Linked DNA regions of Oryzias latipes. The protein of the gene in region 4 binds, or shares a complex with, the protein of the main gene of each other region. Links are inferred from orthologs where the notes say so. Each region holds a gene or a part of one and is shown on either strand. Other genes may lie near its edges.

Region 1 (3,995 bases), on a different chromosome or scaffold from region 4:
GAACACAGCATGCAATAATTACTGACAAACAGCAGACTTGTTTTTTCTTATATTCCACTTGAACATAGTGCATTGTGACTTTTTCTCTTTTTTTTTTTTTAAGATGCTCCACGAACCACAATCATGACCAGATAGTCTTCTTCGCTTTTTGCCAGAGCTTTTGCAGAGGAATCCAGGAATTGCTGAGAGAAATCACAGGGGGGGAAAGCATGAAGAACCCCTGTGTTGTCTTTATCTCTGCTCCCTCCCACAGGCAGACTGATGACCCCAGCTGCTTGTTTTTGGTTGAGGTAGGACACCAGGTTGCGAAGGGGCCGCTGGGTTGAGGCCATAGGATCAGATGAAGAGGAGTCCTCTGTGCTTCCAGGAACTGCCAACAGGATGGCGTAGCCGCCTGGACCGGCGACTTTGATGCGCCGAGACACCTCATCAAGCTTTGGCTGGTCCAGACGGAGACGCTGCGTGATCTTTAGCTCGCTCACCTGCCTTCCGGTTGAGCCGTCGATGAGCAGGTCGCTGGCGACGCCGTAGTCACCTTCTAGGAGATGCATGCTGGCTGGAAAGTTGCTGTTCTTCAGGAGCAGCATTCCGCGCCATGCCACAATGAGTTTGGTGCCATCAGGTTTGGATTGCTGGGCTCCTTTAGAGCTGCTTTCAGAGCGTTCTCTCTTGGCAGGCACTTTGCCACTGTCGCCCGCTTTGCGTTTCCGCTCACCAGCAGATGAGAGTCCTTTCTCAGAAAGACTCTGGCTTTTAACCCTTCGATCCGCCCCACCTCTTTCAAGGCTAATGACATGTTCTCTGGCTGGTGAGGCCGTTTCACTGTGCACAGGATGCTCAGAGTCACTGAAACGTCCTCCGTCTCTGCTGCTGCCCCCAGGACTGCCATCTGGAGAAGAACGTCTACGTCTCACTGTCCTCTCAGTGCTGTCAGGAGAGTGATCTAGGTGACGGCCATCCTCCAATAAGCGTCTCTTACGTCCTGGTTCTCGCCCTTGCAGCTCACGCTCCAAAGACCAAGGCTCTCGAGTTCTCCGGTCGCGTTCCAAATGTTCCAGAGGCTCAAAGGGGGATCCCCGGACCCGCTCACGAATGGCCGGGTTGGGCCACTCCGTTGCTGGAAAGAGTTCTCTGTCCCTGAAGTGAAGTGGAGGTGGAGTCCGATCTCTGACTCTCAGAGGTTCAGGCGTGGCGCGGTGGACAAACGAGTCAGCCACCATGTCAAACGGTGGAATAGGGAGAGGCTGCAAGAACTGCTGCTGGTACCGGTGCTCAGTGTCTGCGAAATCCACCCGAAGTCTTCTCTCTGGGCCTCCCAGCGGAAAGCCTCTCATGTGTGTCCATGCTGCTTGAGCAGCATCTAAACTTTCATACTGGATGTAGGCCCAAGTGTCACCTTTTCTGTAGTCAATGGTCCTTATAGTGCCAAAGCGATCAAATTCTCTGGCCAGGGCAGCTAAAGGAACCCACGGTCCAAGTCCACCGACCCACAAACGGGTCGTGGGTGTTGCTTTTCCGTAACCGATTTTTATAGGGTTGCGACCCACTATTTTTCCAGACATGCTAAGCTTAGCACGATGAGCCATGTCAAGGTTCTCAAACTTAAGAAATCCATATGTGCTGGTCTGTCCTCGTGATGGTCTCTTGATGTCCACCTCTGTTATGACTCCAAACCTGTCGAAAGCCCGCCTGAGGTCTGCTTCTGCAATGTTTATGTCCAAGTTGCCTAAAAACAAAGTCCTGTTTGCTCTTTGGTCGTCTTCCGGAGATATTAAATCCTCTTCACGAAAAGCTGCTCGCTCTGCAAGGAAAGCTGGACGTGCCCTGGCTTCAAACAGGGCGAACTCTCTGTCCCGGTCCAGTTCTCTGGGCAGAGGGGGCGGAGGGGGAGGAGGGAGCCGTCCCAAAGCCAGCTGCTGCAGCCGGTAGTCTCTGTAACCCAGGCCGGTGGGCGACAGGGGTCTCTGCAAGTGTCTGTGACTTTGTGCTGCGCTGTACAAGTCCCTCTCCACGGGGGAGCGGCTTCTCCTCCTGCTCGTGTAAACGGCCTCGATCTTCAGCGGCCGGTCGTAGAGCACGAGCCGGCCTCTGGCGTGTTTAGCAGCCCTGGCGTCCTCCGGCTTCCTGAAGTTAACGAAAGCAATCCGTTCGTCGTTGCTGCGACTAATTTTGACGCTCACGTCGCCAAACTTTTTGAATTCATGAAAAAGCCCATCTTCTATATCCTCCTCGCTCAGCTGATTCCCAAGGTCGCTGATTTTGAGTGTTTTGTACTCACTCTCGGTGCTGGGCGGCGGAACACGCTGCTCCGCGCGCGAAGAGGCTCGCGGGGAGGCTAGGTCTAGCGACAGGCTCAGGTTGTGGTTTTTACCCACGGAGCTGGAAGCAGCAGACTGACAGCTGTGATTATTTCCAGTCCGACTATGGCCCTCAAAATCTCTGTCCCTTTTCTCACCCAACAAGCTCCGTCTCGTTGAGCCGCTGTCGCTTTTGGACGAACTGTTTCCATTATTACTCCCACTGGAAACGGAGAGAGCCCCCATTTTCTTGCTGGTCGGGTGGCATCCTCCCCTCTCTCGAATGTCGTCCAAGGCCCGGGACCGTTTTTTAATCGGCGACCGCTCCTTTCCTTTCATTGCAGCCCACGAAGAGTAAACTCTTTGTGGTAACTGGCTTTTTCCTGCACTCCTTCCACAAAATAATGTAGAAAATATCCAATACGTTCAAAGAATTTATTTACCGACCCTGCGGCAAAACAACAACAGTCGCCATTTTGTTAAGATTTGTGAGAAGACCCGCCTCCATGCGCTGATTGGCCGGTGTTTGGGGGGCGGCGATTGGTTAAAACCTTTTAAAATCCCGTCAATCACGCACACAGCGATGGATTAAAAAATGGGTCATTTCAGAATAAACCTATTTTAAATAATCCACATGCAAAACTAAGTGAAAATAATTACTGAAAATAATTTAAAAAATGCCAAATAAGCTCAATGTACCCCCTAAAATGCATTTTTTCTTGTCCCGTCCCCCATTGTCCAAATTAAATCTTCAATAAAAGCAGTTAAAATTAAATTTTAGATTCAGTTTTTGGTATATCTTGTTTTGATTGGTGTTTTATGTAACCGTGGGATTTTTTTAAATAAAAGAAGTATTTCAAATATTATTTATGATCAATACAATGTGTTTCCCACCGAATCCACACAATTCCTTTTACCATAACAGGTAAGAGGGTTAGAATATAGCAAAGAGTGATATGCTGGACTTGACATCATCAAACAGTATTCAAAAAGAATGGGTAGAGCAAAAGTTACGTGGATCTTTTATTTTTAACACATAGTTATCCTAGATTGAATGTCTCACTCCGCCTCATGCAACCCTGTTTCCCTATAATCAGAGTAAGACAATTATTGTTATTGTTGTTGCTTTTTTATGAGTAAGTAAGCAATCAAATTAGCATGTAAAGTAGCAACTGAGAAAAACAAGATATCACCATTCATTCTGGGGTGGTCAGAAATGCAAAAAGGCATGCCATTGAAATCACATTAATTTTCTTATTGGTACTCAGTGACAGCTAAACAACTAGCGTCTACTCCTGAGAGAAAGTCAATATTAATACATGTTTGCAACCCTGTTACTTGCAAAAATTGATAACAAGGTTGCATCAAGTCTTGTCATCATCAATATAATGTCATAAATATTTCGCAGTTGATCTGTAAGCAAAGTTAATCAAGCCTTTGACAGATATTACCTTTTATTGACGATTATATAGCAGAGAATTAGAAAAGTCAAAGTTTGCTCTTCATGAATTTTGCAGCCCAAATGTCCTCCAGTTCTGGAATGACCCAAATATCAACATATTAACTGAATATTAAAAGATACAAACAAAAACACATGGACATGTTCCATATGATTTATTTTCTAAATCGGAAGCCTCTTTGCAAGTGTCCAGAAAGTAGTGAAACTGGAAGTATGATTTAAAATTTTTATTCATTTTT
Region 2 (4,208 bases), on a different chromosome or scaffold from region 4:
CATGACACTGTCAGCAAAGTGAAACCGTCTTTATAGCCACCATACCTTACAGTCCCATAACAGAGGCTGCGGAAATCTTCTCTGACTTCCAAACACATCCCCAGCTTTAGCGCCACAGTCAAACCGATCCTCCTGCTTGAAGCCGAACTTTTCTGAGAAAGCCAGAGAATAACACAAAGATGCTAAAAAAGCCCACAACACCCACAGGGTGCAGTCCTCAGCTCAACCCCAGAAAAGTGCGGTAACATTTTTTAAAAAATTGTTAAATTGATTAAAACTAAATAATAATTATAAAGTTATTTAAAGATATGATAGATTATTGTAGGATAAACACATCAAGATTGACATGCAAGCAATGTAAGTCAGGTCAAGTCACAAGAGAGCAGCCTCATTAGGGCGGCTGTTGGGCAGTGGTAGGGAGGTCGACCTCCGAGCAGAAGATTACGGGTTCGATTCCCGCCTTGGCCCGTCCATGTATCGAAGTGTCCCTGGGCAAGACACTGGTGGAAGGTTCAGCATCAGAGCCACCACCAGTGTGTGAATGTGTGTGAATGGGGCCTTGACTAAAGCGCTTTGGGCCTTCAAAGAAAAGCATTATACAAGTATAAGTATTTACCATTTACCATGATATTATCGGATCAAAAAAGGCAACACTGAAAGCAGCTCAGTTTCGACACAGAAAACCACAATTAAGTGGTACTACTACTCTGTGCTAAAAAAAAAAAGGGTAAAAATGCAGGTTGAACTGTGCCCGATGCCTACCATCGTCTCCAGGTTCACTTTTACAGGGTCTGTTACCAACAGGTCTCGGCAGGCGCAGCTGAGGTTTAGTCCTTAATGGCTGTTTAGAAATTAATTTGATGGGGATTCGCCTCCGAACATCCAGGCCACCCAAGGTCCCAGAGCAATCGCTTCCTTGAAGATCGTTGTCTGTTGACAAAAGCATAAATAACATAAATCGCCGATTTTGTTTTGAAAATCACAGAGTAAAACACAACATATGAATATCACAAATATCAACTTTGCACGCTTTGCTTTTGTGTTTTCATGAATTTAATTCATTTATTTTTGGCTCAATTTTATTTTTACAAGTTGAAATAAATAAGAGGGTGCGACTTTATGAAGAATTGCAGAAATGCTTTAGAATTAAGAAGTTCTGTCCCATTAATCAACTGAGAACTGCTGCTAGCAGAGTTGGAATACTGAAATAAAGCGGGATATTGTGTTTTTGGTGATTTTTATCCTTCTGCTTCCTGTGTGTATTGTTCTATTTCACATTTAAAATCTTAATTTGTGGACAAACTTTAGTAATTTAATTTCTAAACCTAACTGGCAGATATCCTTACACAAAAAACCCCAGACAAAATGGAAAGGATTTTAAAAGCCCTATATCTTGCTATGCTTCCAGAGTAAACTATATTTATATATAAAAATGTATTACCTTTGGCACACTAAAGAACCATTTTTTAAATTAAATAGGAGTTATTTTCGCAGCTCATTTTCCAAGCCGAAAGTAAGATGACTTGATCTCTGAGGCCCACCTTTCTCTTCTTGTTGGTGCTGCCCATTTCATGACGTCACACGTTTCACCCACAGAAACAAACATCCAAACTTTTGCAAAGATGGATGTGAATATCATGCATAGAAAATGAAAACGTTTAGCTGATCCCTGCTAGCTTGTGTGGCCGTGTGTGTTAGCCTGGGGGCGGTGCTGGCAGCACAGACTCTTCCTGGAAGGGGCTGTTCTCACTTTGTGATGTGAGGACCCACGCGTTTTACATGGATTGGGAGGGGCTTTGAGGACCCAGAGATGTGTGAGTGGATCAAAACACCGCCTTGGGGTTGTTTTGTGAGGAATGAACATTATAATACACTTAAAAGCTCATCAAGTTGATTTGCATGATATGGGCCCTTTAATTTTGAAAAACAAACAAACAAAAACATTTTACCCTACATTCGTAAGCCTCTGTGATTCAGTTATTCAGTTCCCTTTTGAGTAATTTGTGCTTCATTAATGCTACATAGCCAGTTTCAAATGTGCCCTTCATGAAGACGATCAGATCACGTGATAAAAACACTGCCCTTTCCATCTGACTAGGATTTATTTTTGACAAATTCATGTAATATTCGTAAAACTTCAAAGTTAGCTTTCCTTTTTAATCAAGTTATTGGTGCTACAAACTTAGATTAATTCAGCCCCAAATCACCGAACAACCAAAATAAAAAAAGCTATATAGGACGCAAATGTGCTTAACTGAACCACGGACTCTTTGAAAAGTTTAGCCGCCGCAGCCGCTGGCAGTAGCACAGGCTAACACACTCGAGCATCGGTTCACCAACTCAGTCACTACTTTTACAATAACTTCCGTTTAAAAAACGGATAGCTAATGATAGAAGTCAAGCCCCAAATACGTCTATGGTGCAACAACCTGCTAACCAGATAAAAGAAAACATTTCAGCTTTCACGGACTAACGTGCGTTTTTTTTTTACCCCCGAACATTTCTGAGCTAGCTTATTTCATGCTAGCTTTAACGGTATCGAACGAGGTTCAAAGTAAAAATGAACAGAAAACAGCGCTTTTGACCACCCAAACAGCTGCTAAAACAGAGACTATGGTGCTGCAGTAAAGTGTGTGAAATAGAAAGGAAGAAAGAACATAGCTACGGTAGGCCAAACTAAGCATTTTTTGCTTACCGCTTTGGTCCATGATCCATCTAGCGAGCGCAATGCATGTTGGGATAAAAAAAGAACTAGGAAGTGAAAGATAAGGAAAGGAAACAAGTGAACAAGATAGGATTTTAAAAGTTTAAATGTTTAAAAGTGCTCCACAGCTGGTTTAAGAGCAGCATGTCTCCATCTTTTATGTTTGCTTCTCAACTGGTATAAACCATTCCCTCAATTATGTCTAAACCATGTTATCCTATTCTTATATGCTTTTGACCTGTTCATTGTTTTATGATCATTGTTTTTATTCAGTATATTTTATTTTTTACTAGTATTTGTTACTTTTTTCATCAGTAGTGCGGTATTCCTCTAAACTTTGTGAAGTACACATCTAAAGAGAATTTAATTCCACTGACTGTTACTATTGTATACTATTTAATTCAACATATGATCCATCAGAGTGAACTTTCAAAAGGTTTTGAGAAAACATGAGGCTTTTTAAAACCAAGCGTGATTGTGACCATCCAAATTTACTGACGATCAAACAAAAACTGCTATAGAAATATCTCACTTTAGTATTTTTACTTGTAAGATTAAATAAACTGCTATGAAGTAACAACAAATAACCCTCACAATTTAACTGAAGCAAACCCATTCCCTGTACATACTAAATGCTGGGTTTTATAAACCCTTAGCAAGCAGGGTTGTTAACATCTGGAACAGGTGTACTTCGCCCAAAAGAAACTGCAATGCCAGGCTAGTTGGAAAACATGCAGGACACCCAACCACCCCCAGGGCCTGGACTTTGAGGTCAAATGTAGAAAAACATTTAAAAAACATGCAGCTTATAGATAGATAGATAGATAGATAGATAGATAGATAGATAGATAGATAGATAGATAGATAGATAGATAGATAGATAGATAGATAGATAGATAGATAGATAGATAGATAGATAGATAGATAGATAGATAGATAGATAGATAGATAGATAGATAGATAGATAGATAGATAGATAGATAGATAGATAGATAGATAGATAGATAGATAGATAGATAGATAGATAGATAGATAGATAGATAGATAGATATAAACTTTATTAATCTCCCAAAGGAGAAATTCAGGTGTCCGGTAGCAAAACACACAACCACACACAACAAACAACAGTAAAAAGACAGTTCACAAAATAATATCAGTTCATATCAGGCAGGTTCATTAAACAGCCTGATAGCTGTAGGGACAAATAAGTTCTTAAAGCGCTCTGTCCTGCAGCGCAGTGAAAGGAGTCTATTACTCCGTGTGCTCCTCTGACCTGACATCGTGTTGTGCAAAGGATGTCTGGGATTGTCCAGGATGCTCTGAGTCAAAGCCCTCATTCTCTTCTGGAGCACAGATCCCAGAGAGTCCACCCTCCTCCCGATCACAGATGCACATCTCTTAATCAGTTTGTCCAATCGAGTGCAATCCCTCGTGGTCATACTGCCACCCCAGCAGACAACCCCATGGAAGACAGCACTCGCCACAACCGACTGATAAAGAGGAG
Region 3 (4,277 bases), on a different chromosome or scaffold from region 4:
GATGGCGCCCTGCAGAGCCAGCAGGATGGCAAAGCCGTCAGGGCGGCCGAGCTTGATGCGGCGCGACACCTCGTCCAGCCGGGTCTGGTCCATGCGCAGGCGCTGGGCAATTTTCAACTGGCTTGGCTGGTTCCGGTTCTGCAGATTCAGGCTGTCCTTCAAAACGCCGCTCAGGAAGGAGGCCCCTCCCTCCAGCATGTACAGCTCCGTGGGGAAGCTGCTGTTCTTCAAGGCAAAGAAGCCCTGCCACACCTTGGTGAGGGAGCCCTGGGCGTACTCCGACAGCGAGCTCAGGGTGGACGAGGTGTCCGTGTGGGCAGCGGGGGGGCTGGCGGCGGCCACGTCGCTGTTTCGATGGTGGTTGTTGACGCTCGCGGACCTCTTGCTGTGGTGACGGCTGGATGGGGGCTCTTCCTCTGTGGCATTTGCGTGTCGCCCCCCTCCACCACTGTCAGGGGAGTGGTCTCTTGGCTCAGTGGTGGAGTCCGGGGCTCGAACCCGTGCTCGGTCTGGGCTTGCATCAGGGGAGGCGGTGCCTCCCGGAACTCGAACCCTCGACCTTCCCTTTTCTTTCTCCTTTTCCTCCGACTGCTTGTCGACAGACAGACTTCTGCTTCTCCTGCGGCTCCTCCTCTCCTCCCTCTCCTTCAGCCAGCGTTCCCTGCTCCTGCTGCGGCTCCTCGCCCCTCGGCCAGCTCTTCCAAACGCCTCCACTCCTCCCACCCTCCTGTCCAGGCTTCGGGTGGGGCTGCTGGGAAACTCTCTCTCCAGCAGGACCCTCTCTCTCAAAGAGAGGAGGCTGTGGGAGGGCGGTGAGGAGCGCTCCCTGGTTCCTCTCAGCTCGCGCTCCAGGCTGCGATGGCGACTGTAGGCCTCTCCAAGGAGGTCATAATGCGTGGGGGGAGGCACAGGAAGCTGGTAACCAGGGGGAAATGGGCGGGAGGGGCTCTCCTCCACTTTAGCAAAGTCCACCCTGAGGCGGCGCTCTGGCCCGCCCAGAGGAAAGCCCCTCATCTGGGTACAGGCGGCCTGGGCTGCATCCAAACTTTCATACTGGATGTAAGCAAAGCTGTCGCCCTTCACATAGTCAATGTTCCTAATGCTTCCAAAGCGGTCAAATTCCCGCGCCAGAGCGGTCAGCGAGTTTCCTGGTCCCAGACCGCCCACCCACAGTCGGGTGGTGGGGTTGGCTTTGCCGTATCCGATTTTAATTGGGTTTCCACCAATAAGACGGCCCTGCATGGCCACTTTGGCCCTGTGGGCCATGTCAAGGTTCTGAAACTTTACAAAGGCATAAGCCCCGCCCTGGCCGCGTGCTGGCCGTTTGATGACCACGTCCTCAATGATGCCGTATTTATCAAACCCTCTCCTGAGTTCAGCCTCCGTCACATTCCCGTCCAGGTTTCCGATGAACAGGTTGCTGGTGGCCCTCTGGTCATCCTCGGGCTTCAGGTCCTCCACTACAGGCATGGGGGGGAACGCGTAGGGCCGCCCCCTCTCATCCAGCATACCATAATAGTCCAGCAGCCTTTCCCGGTCTCTGCTCAGACCCAGGCTCTCCAGCGCAAAGTGTCTGGCCCGGAGGTCCCGCATGCTGCTCACGCCGGTCCCGGGTGGGGACAAGGAGCGCTGTCTGTACGGATAGGGGGCGTGTAAAGGTAGATAGCTGACGTCCGGGGGGGTGACGCTCCGCCTCCTAACGTACATGGGCTCTATTTTGAGCTGTCTATCACCCAGAGCCAGCCGGGAGGACTTGGCGTGCCGGGCCTCCTTGGCGTCCTCCGGCTGTCTGAAATTGACGTAGGCGATGCGGCCGAGCTCCGGCGTGTGCGACAGCTTCACGCTCACGTCCCCGAACTTTTTGAATTCGTGGAACAGCGCGTCCTCGACGTCCTCGTCCGACACCTGCGAGCCCAGGTTGCTGATGAGCAGCGTTTTGTACTCCAGCGTGCCGGGTCTCGCGGCGGGGAGCTCCGCGGCCCGCAGCGGCGGCCGGCCCAGGAGGCTGAGCTCGTGTCGGTGGTGGAGCTCCAGCGCGGCCGCGCGCTCCTCCCGAAGGCGCGGCTTCTCCCGCTCCCTGCTGCGGCTCCGCCGGTGGTAGCTCCGGCTCTCCGCCAGCAGCAGAGCCAGCGGCGGCGGCGGCGGCAGCTCCTCTCTGCGGGCGCTCTCCCGTTCTCTCTCTCGAATCCGCTTGGCTAGGGCCCTGGATGGGCTGCCGTCTCTCACGGCCTGCCGCTTCATTTTCCAATAATGATGGAGAGTTTCAACTTTTTTTCCGAGCCTGCAGCGGAGATCCGGCGCTGCTGCGGATTCCGGGAGCGTTAGCTCGGAGACGGCGGCGGCGCAGGCTGCTTCGGTTAGGGGGCGCTTCCAGAGCGGGCTCCGAGTGGTCACACATTTACGGGGAAAAGAGGAGAAGCCTTTAAAAACATGTCAGCATCACAAGAGCTGCACCAGCGCCGCCATCTTGGACAATAGGAATGTGCGCGTTCCCAAAGGAGGGCGGAGCCTGTAGTGACGCAAGCACGTTGCACGTTTTGATTTGAAAACTCCTGCATACCAAATTGTCCTTGTTTATTAGGTTTATCCATTTTTCAAAGGAAATCAAAATAACACAGCAAGCAGATGATACTGCATTATTCTTAATAGACAGAAACCACATTGACCTTGATACAAGTATAATTAATTATTTTTCAAACGCTTCTGGATTACGTCAATAGAGATTACGTCTTAGTTTAGTTAAATGTCAAATATTATTAAAAAGTTAACCCTCGTGCTAACCTATGACCCCACCCTTGCATTGACGTGTTCTTCCTACCATGACAAAGGTGGATAAAGGTGGAAAGATTTCATGTAATCCATGGACACCAGTGAAGATCACAAATCATTGAAGAAAAAAGGTTCAGAGCACTGTCTAGTGGGTCTAGATGACCCAACTCCCAATGTTAAAGTGCCTAGGATAGCACAAAGGTTAAAATGGTTAAAGAAAAACATGGTATCCCTGTTAAAAATGTAGTTACATATTTAGGCACCAGTATAACAATGGACAGAAAATCTAGACAAACACAAAACTTCTCCTTGAGAATTAGAAAAAATGCAAGATGTCATGAATATGTGGCTTCAAATAGATCTATCTATTTTTGGCGGGATCCTCTTGGCTAAAGCGAAAGGTATCTCAAGAGAAATTTCTCCTAATCTATCCTTATCTTTACTTCTGTTCAACTTCCAAAGAAATAAACAACCTCTTAGTTAACTTTGTATGGAAAAATAGACGTCACTATCTTCAGAAAGAACTATTTTATGCCCCCTCATGCAAAGGAGGTTATGAACTCCTACATTTCTCAGATTTGAATTATACATTTAATGGTTACTGGATTCAAAAAGGCCTTTAAGACTCAAAATCAATTTGGTACTTTATCCCATTTAATATTTTATAATAAAATCGGGGGTCTTCAATTTCTTTTTAAATGTAAATATCAGAAAGACTCCTGTCAATCTTTAAAATTTGTATCTGCAAGTTTTGTCGTGCCTGGACGTTATGCTATGCACATTATTTCTCACCAAACAAAAGTATAACTTGGAACAATGATGATATAACCATCAAAAATTTGATCTTTTTGATGAGAATGGCAGCCATCGATTATGACAGGTTCTTCAATAAAATGTGTTTTCCAGTAACAAGCAAAGAATTCAAGAGTGTAATGAAAGCTCTTGTCTCAGGAGTAATTCAACTACTGACTTCTAACCTTAAATATCACGAGGAATCTGAAATACACCCTCCTTTAACACTTAATGGTATTGATATTTTCAATCAAAAAATTGCAACAACAAACACATAATACTTTTAGCGAAAAAAGAAGCATAACACCTAAAGGAGAAATTTATTGGAACCATATTTTAAATTATATCAATTGGAAAAAAAGCATGGTTACTGCCAGATACATTTTGAATAAACAATAAAGTTAAAGAAATACATAAAAGAATTTCAAATAACATTTACCCCACAAATATGTTCATTTCTAAATTCTAAAGATAGATAGAAAATAACTGTAGTTTTACTTAAATCAGTTCATCACCTTTTCTACTGTTGTACATCCTTTCACTTCTGGATCCGTTTAGAACAATTTAAAGAAACAAAGTAAACTAATACATTTCAAACAAATTCTACACATTTTAACTTTGGTGATAAAATGGTAGAAAACGTTATTAATTTGTTGCTTCTCCTACCTAAATTTTTCATACAAAAGGGCAAAGTAAGAGAAAAAAAACTCCCAAAT
Region 4 (4,217 bases):
ATCACTTGATTATCAGATTTTCTGACCAGCAAAGACCTGCTGTTCTGCTTTTAAATAGTCCAACTCCACTCTGCTCATAATTCTAAATTATTGGCACCTGTTTGAGGTGGTTAGCTTCCATAAAGGCACCTGTGCCCCCCACAATCAGTCAGAAGTCTAACTACCAACATGGGCAAAACCAAAGAGCTGTCAAAAGAAACGAGACAAAATTGTAGACCTTCACAAAGCTGGAAATGGCTATGGGGCAATTGCCAAGCAGCTTGGTGAGAAAAGAACAACTGTTGGAGCAATTGTCAGAAAATGGAAGAGGCTAATGATGACTGACAATGTCCCTCGGACTGAGGCCCCTTGCAAGATCTCACCTCATGGGGTATCGATGATGCTAAGGAAGGTGAAGAATCAGCCCAGGACTAAAGGGGAGGAGCTGGTCAATGACCCGAAGAGAGCTGGGACCACCGTTTCCAAGGCTACTATAAGTAATACATTAAAACGTCATGGTTTAAAATCATGTATCGCACGGAAGGTTCCCCTGCTGAAGTCAGCCCATGTCAAGGCCCGTCTGAAGTTTGCCAATGACCATCTTGATGAGCCAGAGGAGTCATGGGAAAAAGTCTTGTGGTCAGATGAGACCAAAATAAAACTTTATTGATCTTAACTCCATTCGGCGTGTTTGGAGGAGGAAGAAGGAGGAGCATCATCCCAAGAACACCATACCTACAGTGAAGCACGGGGGTGGAAGCATCATGCTCTGGGGGTGTTTTTCTGCAGAGGGGACAGGACGACTGCACTGTATTAAGGAGAGGATGAACGTGGCTCTGTATTGTGATATATTGGGCAAAAACCTCCTTACCTCAGTCAGAGCGTTGAAGATGGGTCGTGGCTGGGTCTTTCAGCAGGACAATGACCCGAAGCACACAGCCAAGAAAACCAAGGAGTGGCTCCGTAAGAAGCATATCAAGGTTCTGGAGTGGCTTAGCCAGTCTCCAGACCTAAATCCAATAGAGAATCTTTGGAGGGAGCTGAAACGCCGTGTGTCTCAGCAACAGCCCCGAACCCTGACAGATCTAGAGAAGATCTGTATGGAGGAGTGGGCCAAAATCCCTGCTGCAGTGTGTAGAAACCTAGTGAAGAACTACAAGAACCGTTTAACCTCTGTAATTGTTAACAAAGGCTTCTGTACCAAATATTAAAGTTGTTTAACTCAAGTGATCAAATACTTATTTGTCACAGTAATATACAAATAAATTGTTTAAAAAAATTGTACAACGTGATTTCTGAATATTTCCTCAGATTCTGTCTCTCACTGTGGAAATGCACCCATGATGAAGATTTTAGACCCCTCCATCTTTTCTTAGTGGGAGAACTTGATAAATCACAGGGTGATCAAATACTTATTGACCTCACTGTATATAATTCCACATGTGTTAATTCATAGTTGTGATGCCTTCAGTTTGAATCTACAATTTTCATAGTCATGACAATAAAGAAAACTCTTTGAATGAGAAGATCTGTCCAAACTTTTGGTCTGTACTGTATGTATGTATGTACACTTGCTATATATAAAAAAATGAATAAACAAAGTAAACATGACTGAATTAAGAACTATAGACCTAAGCTGGAGAGCAGACGTTCTATGCATGTGCAGGTTCGCAGTAGTGGTAACAGTCAGAAAACGTAGTGCTCACTTTCTGTTCCTCCACATCCTCCTCTGTGTCCTCTCCTTCTGTCGGCTGCTTCCTTTTGGAAGAGGGGAGCAGGCTGTCATATGAAGCCCTGCACAACACAAATATTTATGATTTGTTTCAACATCCCTGCATCAGCATGCACAAAGATCAATGCACAACTTTAAGGGATGGAGAAAGTGATTTTTATCCAGAACTACATCTGGATTCTAACAAACTAGTCACATAGCATAGTTTCTGACTGATTAGCCATTAGCTACAGACTATGTTTCTCTAACCGGCTCCATACAAATATTATTGGGGTTTTGTATTTTCCGTGGATGAATGTTGTGCTACCTGCAAGTTTCTCTGGTTTCCTCGATCTCCTTTAATTCATCCTTGCTGTGAAGGACAGCTCCAATGCTGTCAGCGCTTTCTGCCCCCAACTGTGGGAGTATATTGAAGAATCAGACTGTTTTTGAGGACAACAATGCAAGCAAGCAATGCCAAATGCGTAGCTAACTCATAATTAACCATTATGGAGATGTAAACACTATTAGAAGAGTGATTCAGAGTGGATACAAATATAGAAAGTGTGTTTCTTCGACTTAAACTATGATTATGTTAGCTGACTGTAGCTGTTTGCTATAACAACAGCGACTCTGTGTGTACTTGCCTGTTGGGCTAACAGTTGCCGCCTTAGTTTTTGCCTCTCGCGGATCTCTTGCAGCCTACTGTTCATATTTCCCCTCGTGGCAATTTGTCACAGAAGATTAAAAACCGCGTGGGTTTGTTTTTATTCGGAATAGATTAAGTATTTCATTTAGCATGGAAAGCAACATGCAAGCAGTAGCTAGCTGGCTCTCAGAGAGAAAGCCGCTAAAATATATTTAAAGGGTACGCTCGATATTAACCTCGTCACATCCGAACCAAGTTGAGTTTGTCTAAGTCGTAACGGACGTTGGTGAAATTTTATTTATTTTGTAATGTCGGTGCTCAATTGTAGCTAATTTACCTTAAACCTTTAATATAAATGAATTAAGCTGTAGCGTTGAGCGCATACAGACATTGAAATGCACGAGAACCGGAGCACGCCGGTGAATTTACGATTTAGCAAAATTGTAACTGGTCGCGTAATGATGGCGTCATCTTCAGAACGCATGTGTTTGACGTTTAGAGTTTGCACAACAAGCTGGTGCAGCATTCTATGATCCACTGTGATCTTTTTCCCCATCTGAGGCCTTTATATGGATCATATTGATTAGCTAAGCATGCCCCTATAATTAACCAGGGTATATCATTTTTTTAAATCAAAGATTAATATATAAGAACTTATAACCTTTTCTGAAAAACGTTTTTAATGGTGTTTGTGGAGGGGTGCAGCGAAGGGGGTAGGCTAGGAAATCCGATATGGCCACTCGTGGAATACCATTGGCTACCTTTGCCCCGAGATATATACATTACTGATGGATGTTCAAATCCATCAAGCTATGCTTTTTCCAAATGTGGACTAACACTCACATACTGGTTCAGGGTATTTTTAATTTACGATCAGGACCAGCTTTACCCTTTATTCTCATTTAATTTTTTCAGGGGTTGCTTCAGTAGGCTAAATCACCCACCTCTATTCTACCAAGACTAACACACCAACTACTCTCCATTATTTCTGTGGACCTCCTCTTGATCTGCCCTTAAGCCTCATTCCTGCCAGCTCTAACATCAGCATCCTTGAAAGGATGCTGAATACATCTACACATTCACAATCTGGCTTCCCTGCATTTATCTCCAAATGATCCTACATGAGTTGTTCCTTTGATGGATTTATCCACGATCATCCATCTTCATCACTCCTAAAGAGAACCTCAACATCTTCATCCCTAACACATCCAGCTCTCTTGACTTTCTCAGTGCCCCTAACTGTAGAATACATTGCCATTTCCATTCAATTTTCAATTAAACACAATATTTGTAATCAGAACAGTCAACCAATGAAAGATCTTTTTAAGGGTAAGCCTATATGAAATAAATATTTATAAATTGGAAAATAAAAATCAATAACGTGATTTTTGAATTGACATACAAAATATTAATTGATCATTCAGAATTACAGTAGTAATATATTTCAACTTCAAAATATGTTTTTTGTTGTTGTTGAAAGCTTGGATTATTGAGCATTTTGGATGTTTCAAATTCATACATTTTTTTTAAATTAGTGATGGAACATTTTCATTCTAAAAAACGATTTTAATTGCCACTGATACCCAATTTCTGTAAAATCTGCAGCCAAAATGGAGAAAAAAAAGGAGAAATAGCTATAAAAAGACTCACTTTGTGTGTACAATTTAATTAAATTTATTGAAAAACTTCAACTGAGCATTAGAATTTTTAGAACCTGTGCATTTACCATTTTAACCACCTAGTCTTTATCAAGATTTTCTAAGACAATGCAACCCAGTTTAGCCATCCCAGTAAAAAAAATACAAATAAATAATAATAATGATAAATGAATGGGAAAAATAGGTCCGGCACGTGTCACTGTCATTGTGGGGCTTGGAG
Region 5 (3,500 bases), on a different chromosome or scaffold from region 4:
CCAAAGATTCACCTTCATCCAGAAGGTCCAGCTCCCCGAAGCACAAAAGTGGAACCAAAGGTGCCGGGTCCAGCAAGAAGGAGAAGAAAGCCTCTCTGACTTTGGCTGTTTCAGAAACTGCAAGGTATTTTGGAGCGACACGATTTAAATGGAAATCTACAGAAATGCTTCCAATGTCTCAATACGGACGTTTCCTGTCTTAAATCCTGCTGTGGGGATTTTTTTGTGTCGTATTTGGTCATTTTTGCACCTCAGTTTATCCGCCCACGTCTGTTTTTGTGTGGTCTAAGACGTTTTTGTGATCCATCAGGCCCTCCAAAGGCAGCCACAGTAAGAAGAAGGGCCCCCGCACGCCCAGCCCTCCCCCTCCTGTCCCGCTCGACCTCCCCGTCGTTGGGAAGAAGCACAAAGGGAAGCACAAGAACAAGGAGAAGACGGAAGAGAAGCAGAAGGAGGGAAAAGACCGCGGAAGAGATGTGGAGAAGCACAAAGAGAAAAAGGAAAAACGACGGTACAGTTCAGCCGTTTGAAGTGTTTTAGCTCGTTTAGCCGACTCTCATCAAACTGTTGCTTTTCCTTCTTCTCTGTTGATGCTACATTTTTTTAGGGACCGATCCGATAGTTCCCATAAGGCCAAACGAGTGCAGACGTCAGATGAGCGGTCCAGCAGCGTGTCGTCCCCCTCTAGAGGCGTGTCCCCCTCATCCAGGAAGAAATCCGTCTCCCCCAAAGTTTCCTCCCATAAGACTTTGTCCCTTTCGTCTCCTCGCCGCAGGTTTGCTTCATAACCGTGATGATCTTTTCTTTGTTTTAAACGCTATAACTGATGAGTTATATATATAAATATATATTTTTCCTCATCCCAGGTCTCCTTCCTCCTCCCGACACCAGCGTTCTCCCTCTCCCTCCCGCCACCACTCCCCCTCCTCCCACTCGGGGTCTTCTGCCCAGCGCCACTCTCCATCGCCTCGACGCCGCCGCTCGCCATCTCCGGTTTACCACCGGAGCTCCGCGGCGCACGCCTCCGTCTCCTCGCCCACGAGTTCCCGTCGCTCCCGGTCCCCACCAGCCTCCCATGACACCCCCCCATCTCACCGGCGTTCGGAGAGATCCACCCCGAGCCGGCACCACTCCAGGGGCAGAGAGAGGAGCCGGGGGGAAAGGGAGAGAACTCCACCCCCCCAGGAGCGCAGACATGAACACAGAGAAGGTATCTTTCGTTTTGTTTTTTCAGAAAATCGTTCTTATAGCTATCATTTTATGGGAAATTGATCAGATTTTTCTTTTATTTGTTTTTTTTTCAGATCGCGGCAAGCGGGACAAAGATGGCGTCCGTGAAGACAGAGACTACGACTCCGAGCTGATCGCAGCCCGAGAGGAAAGGGAGTCGAGGGACGCTCGTGACCGGCGCGATGTCCGCGATCGGGGGAGGGAACCGGTGCGAGAGTCCCGCGACAGTCGCGACAACAGGGACACGAAGGACTCCAGGGACAGCAGGGGGGACGGGCGCTCCAGTCGGGAGTCACTGGAACGGCGGGATCGAGAGCGGGAGCGAGAGAAGGAACGGGACAAGGAGAGGGAGAGGAACGACTCCTACAGGAAGGAGGATGCAGGTCAGGACGACAGACTCTACGCTAGAGGTCACGGACGCGATGACGGCGGCAGAAGCGAGGGTAGGACGGACCGAAATGGACGAGGAAGAGGCCGTCCAAATGAAACGGTTGACAAAGGTGAGACATGTTTGTGATGAAGTGTTGTTTTTTTTTTTGGTTCAGTCGTGGCTCCCGCTCTGAATATCCTCCGCTGTCGTCTTCTCAGGCTCACTCAGAAACTCCCGCAGTTCCCAAATGGACAGCAGCTACGACAACTGGGAGTCCCGGAGCAGCGCCGCGCGGGACCGAAGCCTGGAGAGAGGCGCAGACCGCAGCACGACCGAAAGAACCTCCGAGAGGGTTCCGGACCGGGATCGCTACGAGGGGGAGAGGCGGGAGCAGCCCCGAGACTCCTCCTACGACAGGAGGGGGGGCCACGGCGAGCGGGACCGCAGAGACACCCGGGACAGAGGTGAGACGACGGAGGACAATTTGTTTATTGGGGCCGCAAAAGCAGATTCCTGTTCACAAACCTAAAGACAACCTGATTTTAATCTATGATCAATTCTGCAACTCTCACCTGACAAGTCAAGATCCTAACAATCACTTTAATTAAACCTAACGTCCTTTATAAATTATTTTTATTTATTTACTTATGGGTAAACCAGAAAAGTCTTTTAAATAGACCTTTTTCTTAGAGATGGCAAAATAAAGGCTTGTTCCTCAGAAAAAATTAATTAACATTTGAAGAGTTCAACTTAATGTATGTTTTGTATTTCATAAAAAAACATTTTCTTTTTTTTATTTTATTTAAAGAAGGGTAAAACCTTTTTTATTGAGTTAGAGGGTGAACACAACGGCAAAAAGTGTGACGTTCTAATTTGTATTGATATTTTAAAGGAGGTAATTTATCGATAGAAATTAAAGATTTGTGTAAAATTTTTAGTTGTGAGTTTAAATCCAAGCTTTTTTATTTTATTATTTATCCTTCTCAAAATAATAAAATTTAAAAAAGTAGGAGTCTGCTGCTGGCCATCATGCAGAATGCAGCCTTACATTGACTTTCCTTTTTCTTTTTTCATCTTTAAATGTAATTATCCAGTTTGTATCATTTGTAACTTTACACGTTTCTCTTTTTCCTGCAGATCAAAGGGCCGTCTCTCCCTCCAGATATCCAGGCAGGTCGGAAGAGTCCGACCGGGACGATCGACGGACAGACCGGTCGGAGGACAGACGGGACGACCGGGCCCGAGAGCGGGAAAGAGAGAGGGAGAGGGAGAGAGAGAAGGAGAAGGAGCGAGAGAGGGAGAGAGAGAGGGAAAAGGAGCGGGAGAAGGAGAGGGAGGCAGAGAGGGAGCGAGCTCGGGAGCGAGAACGCGAGAGAGAGCGTGAGGAGAGGGAGAGGGAGCGAGAGAGGAAGGAGAGGGAGAGAGAGAGGGAGCAAAGGGAGCGAGAGAGGCAGCGGGAGTGGGAGGAACGGGAGAGGGGGAGGGAGGAGAGGCGGGAGAGGAGAGACGACGTCCGGGAGGATCGGTCCGTTCGAGACACCCGGGAGGATCGCAAGCTGAGGTATGTGTGGATGCCAGATCTCTGAAATGCAGCACGGAGTCACCATTTATGATAATTAGCAGAAAATTAGGAGAAAAATTGCTTTACATTGGACAAAGAAAAGATTATATATTTAAAAGGTGAACATTTCATGACAATAAAGGTGTAAAATTAAAGAGAGAGTCAAAGTTTATGAGAATAAAATTGTGAAGTTATAAGAAAAAGTCTAAATTTTTATAAAAGTACAATTATTTTTTAAAAAAAAGGACATTTTACGAAAACAAACAGACAAATATGAGAAAAGGTTACAAAATAAAGTTGTGATAAATAAATAGTCGTACAATTATAAGAAAAAAAGGC
Region 6 (4,076 bases), on a different chromosome or scaffold from region 4:
CTCAGTTCATTTTGGGCCTGCTCCAGTTTGTCTTTAGTCTGTTCCAGTTCAGCCTTCATTTTGAGGAAAAACAAGTTGATGGCTGGATCCACCATGGACGACCGCAGCTGGGCTGCACTCGGCTGCTGGACTTGCTTCAGGTACTGGATCTGTGTCTGTAGGAGGCAACAGGCAGGTGTTAGAGTCCAGTCACACACATTATGAAGCTGCTTTTAACACCTAAACATCTTCCCTTTAAAAATGTAACAAAACTGCTTTCAAATAGATCAAAATCTAGGCTAATCTGCGTCTAGACGCTTAGTTTTAAGTCCCACTTCGATCCTCTTTTGAGTGATTTTAAAAACTTTCCCAGTGGTCTTGTAATTACGCTTATGTTGTTTTTAGAATCAGAATCACTTTATTGATCCCACACATGGGAAATTTGTGTGTTACAATAGCATTGTAATCTTAAAAGGAAATAGAATATAAAAACAAAGTAATTGTAGAAAAAAATTATGTAAAAAATATCTTTATTTTAAAGGACATATTTTCTGCAGAAAGGCAGTTGTTCGTTAGAAATTTGCCTCTGCTTCTCCACCCATTTGTTATCGCTCTCTCCTGCTAGCTTACAGCCCTTCACAGACTCAACCTAACATTACCAGCGCAACAAAAATCGTGAGCAATACTGGAGCCTTCCAGACGAGTTCTGAGCCTGATGCCAGCTCAGGCGAGGAAAACAAAGACGCACGTGGATCTGCCTACAAGTGGATGGATCAGAATGCAGCAGATCAGAGATCAGTCTATTTTCCTATGTAGCAGAATTTTACCAACCACTCCTGATTCATGATTTGAATAAAGAAATACTTAGAAATGCAACTTTAAGCCTAACTGTCTTTAAATATGTCCTCTTCCATTAGAAAAACCCCACAAGAACATGTCAAAAACACAATTTTCATCCGAGGCTTTAAGTAAAAGCTGCTTTCACTCTAGTGTCGTTTTAAAATAGCAAACAGGCGATTCAGTATCCACATCTAAAAAGTGATAAGAAAGAAAATACTTTAAATATTTGGATGTAAAAGCTTGCAAACCACCACAACTTGTTCTCATCTAGAATGATTACAAACCAAGATGTGTTCTCATTAACACACATTCCCTTTCATGCAATTTATAAATCCTTAACATGTGTCTTGGTAAATTGATAGACTCCAAAATAAAAAACAACCCCCACCTTGTAGGCAATTTGAAAAGAAATATTAATTAAAAAGAATCTAATATTTTGGTGTTTTTATCCCCTAAAGACAGATGCTTTCAGGTTTGTCAAGTTTTTTTAGTGATTCTTATGCTTTTAACATTTTATCTTCAAACTTTCTATCTAATAAAGGCAGAAAAATGTTTAGAAATTATACTGTAACGATACAGAAAGCATTAAATATTTCTTCCAGGTGCTGCAACTTTAGAACAACTCATCTTTTTAGTGTTGCATATTAAAAACCTGAGCGAGAGACTTACTGTGCACTCCTGCATCTCCTGCTCCTTGGTGGCAAGTCGCATGACCAGGATGTTTTCCCTCCGAGCCGACTCCTGCTGCTGCTGCTTTAGCTTTTCCTCAGACTCCTTCAGGCCCGGGACGTCGTTGGCTGAGGGGGGTGGATGATGGGAGGGAAGAGAAACAAACTCATCAGCCGACACTCTGCGATGCAACGGGCTAGATCTATTTTTTAAGTGAACTTACAACACAGCTCTGCATATTTAGTCTCCAAGACCTGGACATATGATTCATGCTGCTTCCACCTGAGGAGAATGAGATCCATGTAAACAGCTCAACATCATCAGAAGACAGGAGGGGACAGGGGCTGTTGTTTACCGTGTACACAGCTCCTCTCTGGTCAAGGTCTTCAAATCAGATTCAGTGAGGCGAACCTGTAAAATAAAATAAAAATAGAATAAACAAAAAGCTGCTTAGACATCCATTACCAACCAACAGCACCCTTAAAGAGTAGTTTTAATCTGGATCAGACTCACCTTCTTGGGCAGAGGTTCTTCGTTGGTCATTGTGCTCTCTAGGAATGAAAATAAGCAGAAAACGTGTTATTTTTTTTGTTGGGCATCCTGTCCTCGCGCTGGCCGTCACGCAGTTAAATATTAGACGTCACGTTTGATCACAGACGCCCTCAAAAATTATTATAAACGGGCCTTCCCGACAAAACTGAAGTGTCAACAGTGAACTGCCATTGCTATATTCAACAAACCCGCGAAACTAAAGTGAACATAACCCGATAATAGGGTATGTCGTGCCGAGTACTACTAACGACTGTTGCAGTCAGCGGCGGAGGGTTTCCTTTAAAAAGTACTCAAGGTTAACCCCTCACTGCTAATAATCGTTTAGCATTTCGGCGACGTAAACACATTTTAGAGACCTGCGATGTTATCTTTCAACGTGTCGTTTATCTAAGCATCAAGTGTATAATTACTTAGCTATGTTCGGCTTCTTGTTATAACAAAATGGCGGTGAAGGAAATGACTCCCACCCCTGCGCTTCTTTTCCTGAAACTAGCGGGCTCTTAGCTGCAGTCACGCGGCCTACGCGATCATAACACTCACCGGGCCCGTTCGCTTCAATGTTTCGAAAAACCTTCGAGGTTTACAGATTCTCTGTAACTGTTTTTAAATGCGTAAAGAGTGGTGGTTGATTAAAAGTTGTGGCCTCGTCTTTAAGTGTTCAGAATCATCCCCTTTACCGAGAGAAGAACAGGACGGCTCTGGAGGATGAGGTGCTGCACTGCACTTGAGTTTCTGCGGAGTAATACCAGCAGTGGACAGGAGAGAAAAGTCTGCTCACTACGCTCACATTTTCCGATCCTAAAATTCCGGACAATCAAAATGGTTGTGATCAAATGTTTTAAGATTTAAAACTGCATTTAGTTCTGTGTTTTTCCTTGAATGTTTCTGGGTTTGCGATGTATTACATTATTAGTTTATCTAAAGAAAACGATCCAAAGCTGTTGACCCAATACTATTCTCAAATGTTGTAATGACTAAGAAAGGGAAATTAATTTATTTCCTTGCTGATGTGACATAACCTTACGCGTCTTTTCATCTTTTTTGCATTGCAAACCAAAAAACTGGATTTACTTTGATCACAAAATTTACAATCACAACAGATCGCATTTAAATTATGTAGAGTGGTTCGTTGTAGATATAGACGATCTTTGGTATCCATTTCAACACAGTGACGCAAAGACCACGTGATTCCAATGGTTACATAGTTATTTTTTAATCGTGACGCAAAGTTGTTACAAATTTTCAACCTTACAAATATTGTATAGTTTAATATGATTAAATTTTGAGTACAATAAACGAAAAGGGCTTAAAAAAATTTTTTTCGCACACATGTGGCCCCATGTTACAATAAATCTTCGGTATCTACCAAAAGACAGGGCTAAGGAAAAGTGGTAAGACCGAGAAATAAATCTCAAAATTTAAAAGATGACGTTGGTTGCAATTGAATTGCCGAAAATATAATTATTATCTTATAAATATATATAAAAATAGTATATATTGCCTTTCAAGCTTATATGAATTTAAGCCATTTTCGATAACATCCCCATATTCTGATAATGGTACGGTCGACTCCGCTGTCAAGTTGAAATTGCCCATTTCAAGGGCAGTAATACCGCCTTGTTTTCACTTTTCTTGGCTCTCTAACCTTTAAGCAAACATGCTTTGCAAAGTCTGGCAAATGCGCAGGTAAGATGTGTCTACGTTATATTTTTATGTAAAGTTCAAAAACTAAAAGAAAATACTTGTATCAGCAGCGTGGAAAACTGTTTGCTTTGTTGTGCTAACTGTTAGCTAACTTCAATGCTAATCTGGTTTAGCTGCTTAGTTAAAAACTTGTGACGTACAACGAAAACAACTCTTAGTATAGTGTAAGCGTTTAAGTATTATTGCATGTACAAATTCGTTCATGTTTTCTATTTCTTACTTTAATTGGTTGGTAAATGTCACTGGCTTGTTGAGCTAAAATCACAAGCTAAAAAAAGGTTATTTGCCACAACGATGTTGAGTTTTTTGCCTTTTCTCCCCCTTCTCAGTTG

Evidence for each region.
Region 1: mettl14 (region 4) and rbm15 share a complex: the UniProt entries of both Homo sapiens proteins name them as parts of the WMM complex. The link is inferred for Oryzias latipes from reciprocal best matches to the Homo sapiens genes METTL14 and RBM15.
Region 2: mettl14 (region 4) and cbll1 share a complex: the UniProt entries of both Homo sapiens proteins name them as parts of the WMM complex. The link is inferred for Oryzias latipes from reciprocal best matches to the Homo sapiens genes METTL14 and CBLL1.
Region 3: mettl14 (region 4) and rbm15b share a complex: the UniProt entries of both Homo sapiens proteins name them as parts of the WMM complex. The link is inferred for Oryzias latipes from reciprocal best matches to the Homo sapiens genes METTL14 and RBM15B.
Region 5: mettl14 (region 4) and zinc finger CCCH domain-containing protein 13 share a complex: the UniProt entries of both Homo sapiens proteins name them as parts of the WMM complex. The link is inferred for Oryzias latipes from reciprocal best matches to the Homo sapiens genes METTL14 and ZC3H13.
Region 6: mettl14 (region 4) and wtap share a complex: the UniProt entries of both Homo sapiens proteins name them as parts of the WMM complex. The link is inferred for Oryzias latipes from reciprocal best matches to the Homo sapiens genes METTL14 and WTAP.

The regions. Positions count from the first base shown.
Region 1 is NC_019865.2:10,859,931-10,863,925, reverse strand, and holds the start of rbm15 (putative RNA-binding protein 15), read right to left. Parts: upstream 2,801-3,995; 5' UTR 2,637-2,800; coding exon 99-2,636; 3' UTR 1-98. UniProt on the Homo sapiens protein: RNA-binding protein that acts as a key regulator of N6-methyladenosine (m6A) methylation of RNAs, thereby regulating different processes, such as hematopoietic cell homeostasis, alternative splicing of mRNAs and X chromosome inactivation mediated by Xist RNA.
Region 2 is NC_019881.2:9,398,203-9,402,410, reverse strand, and holds the start of cbll1 (E3 ubiquitin-protein ligase Hakai), read right to left. Parts: upstream 2,801-4,208; 5' UTR 2,709-2,800; coding exon 2,696-2,708; intron 931-2,695; coding exon 763-930; intron 153-762; coding exon 46-152; intron 1-45. UniProt on the Homo sapiens protein: E3 ubiquitin-protein ligase that mediates ubiquitination of several tyrosine-phosphorylated Src substrates, including CDH1, CTTN and DOK1. Targets CDH1 for endocytosis and degradation.
Region 3 is NC_019863.2:6,227,229-6,231,505, reverse strand, and holds the start of rbm15b (putative RNA-binding protein 15B), read right to left. Parts: upstream 2,801-4,277; 5' UTR 2,242-2,800; coding exon 1-2,241. UniProt on the Homo sapiens protein: RNA-binding protein that acts as a key regulator of N6-methyladenosine (m6A) methylation of RNAs, thereby regulating different processes, such as alternative splicing of mRNAs and X chromosome inactivation mediated by Xist RNA.
Region 4 is NC_019859.2:14,173,343-14,177,559, reverse strand, and holds the start of mettl14 (N6-adenosine-methyltransferase non-catalytic subunit), read right to left. Parts: upstream 2,801-4,217; 5' UTR 2,404-2,800; coding exon 2,338-2,403; intron 2,108-2,337; coding exon 2,019-2,107; intron 1,774-2,018; coding exon 1,686-1,773; intron 1-1,685. UniProt on the Homo sapiens protein: The METTL3-METTL14 heterodimer forms a N6-methyltransferase complex that methylates adenosine residues at the N(6) position of some mRNAs and regulates the circadian clock, differentiation of embryonic stem cells and cortical neurogenesis.
Region 5 is NC_019860.2:22,021,527-22,025,026, reverse strand, and holds part of zinc finger CCCH domain-containing protein 13, read left to right. Parts: coding exon 1-124; intron 125-310; coding exon 311-511; intron 512-607; coding exon 608-775; intron 776-866; coding exon 867-1,210; intron 1,211-1,304; coding exon 1,305-1,730; intron 1,731-1,818; coding exon 1,819-2,064; intron 2,065-2,737; coding exon 2,738-3,161; intron 3,162-3,500. UniProt on the Homo sapiens protein: Associated component of the WMM complex, a complex that mediates N6-methyladenosine (m6A) methylation of RNAs, a modification that plays a role in the efficiency of mRNA splicing and RNA processing.
Region 6 is NC_019882.2:7,325,451-7,329,526, forward strand, and holds the start of wtap (pre-mRNA-splicing regulator WTAP), read right to left. Parts: upstream 2,801-4,076; 5' UTR 2,718-2,800; exon of another isoform or gene 2,581-2,717; intron 2,528-2,580; exon of another isoform or gene 2,451-2,527; intron 2,040-2,450; 5' UTR 2,032-2,039; coding exon 2,002-2,031; intron 1,900-2,001; coding exon 1,844-1,899; intron 1,771-1,843; coding exon 1,712-1,770; intron 1,617-1,711; coding exon 1,489-1,616; intron 156-1,488; coding exon 1-155. Other genes in the region: sod2 (superoxide dismutase [Mn], mitochondrial), read left to right, coding at 3,698-3,726, 4,074-4,076. UniProt on the Homo sapiens protein: Associated component of the WMM complex, a complex that mediates N6-methyladenosine (m6A) methylation of RNAs, a modification that plays a role in the efficiency of mRNA splicing and RNA processing.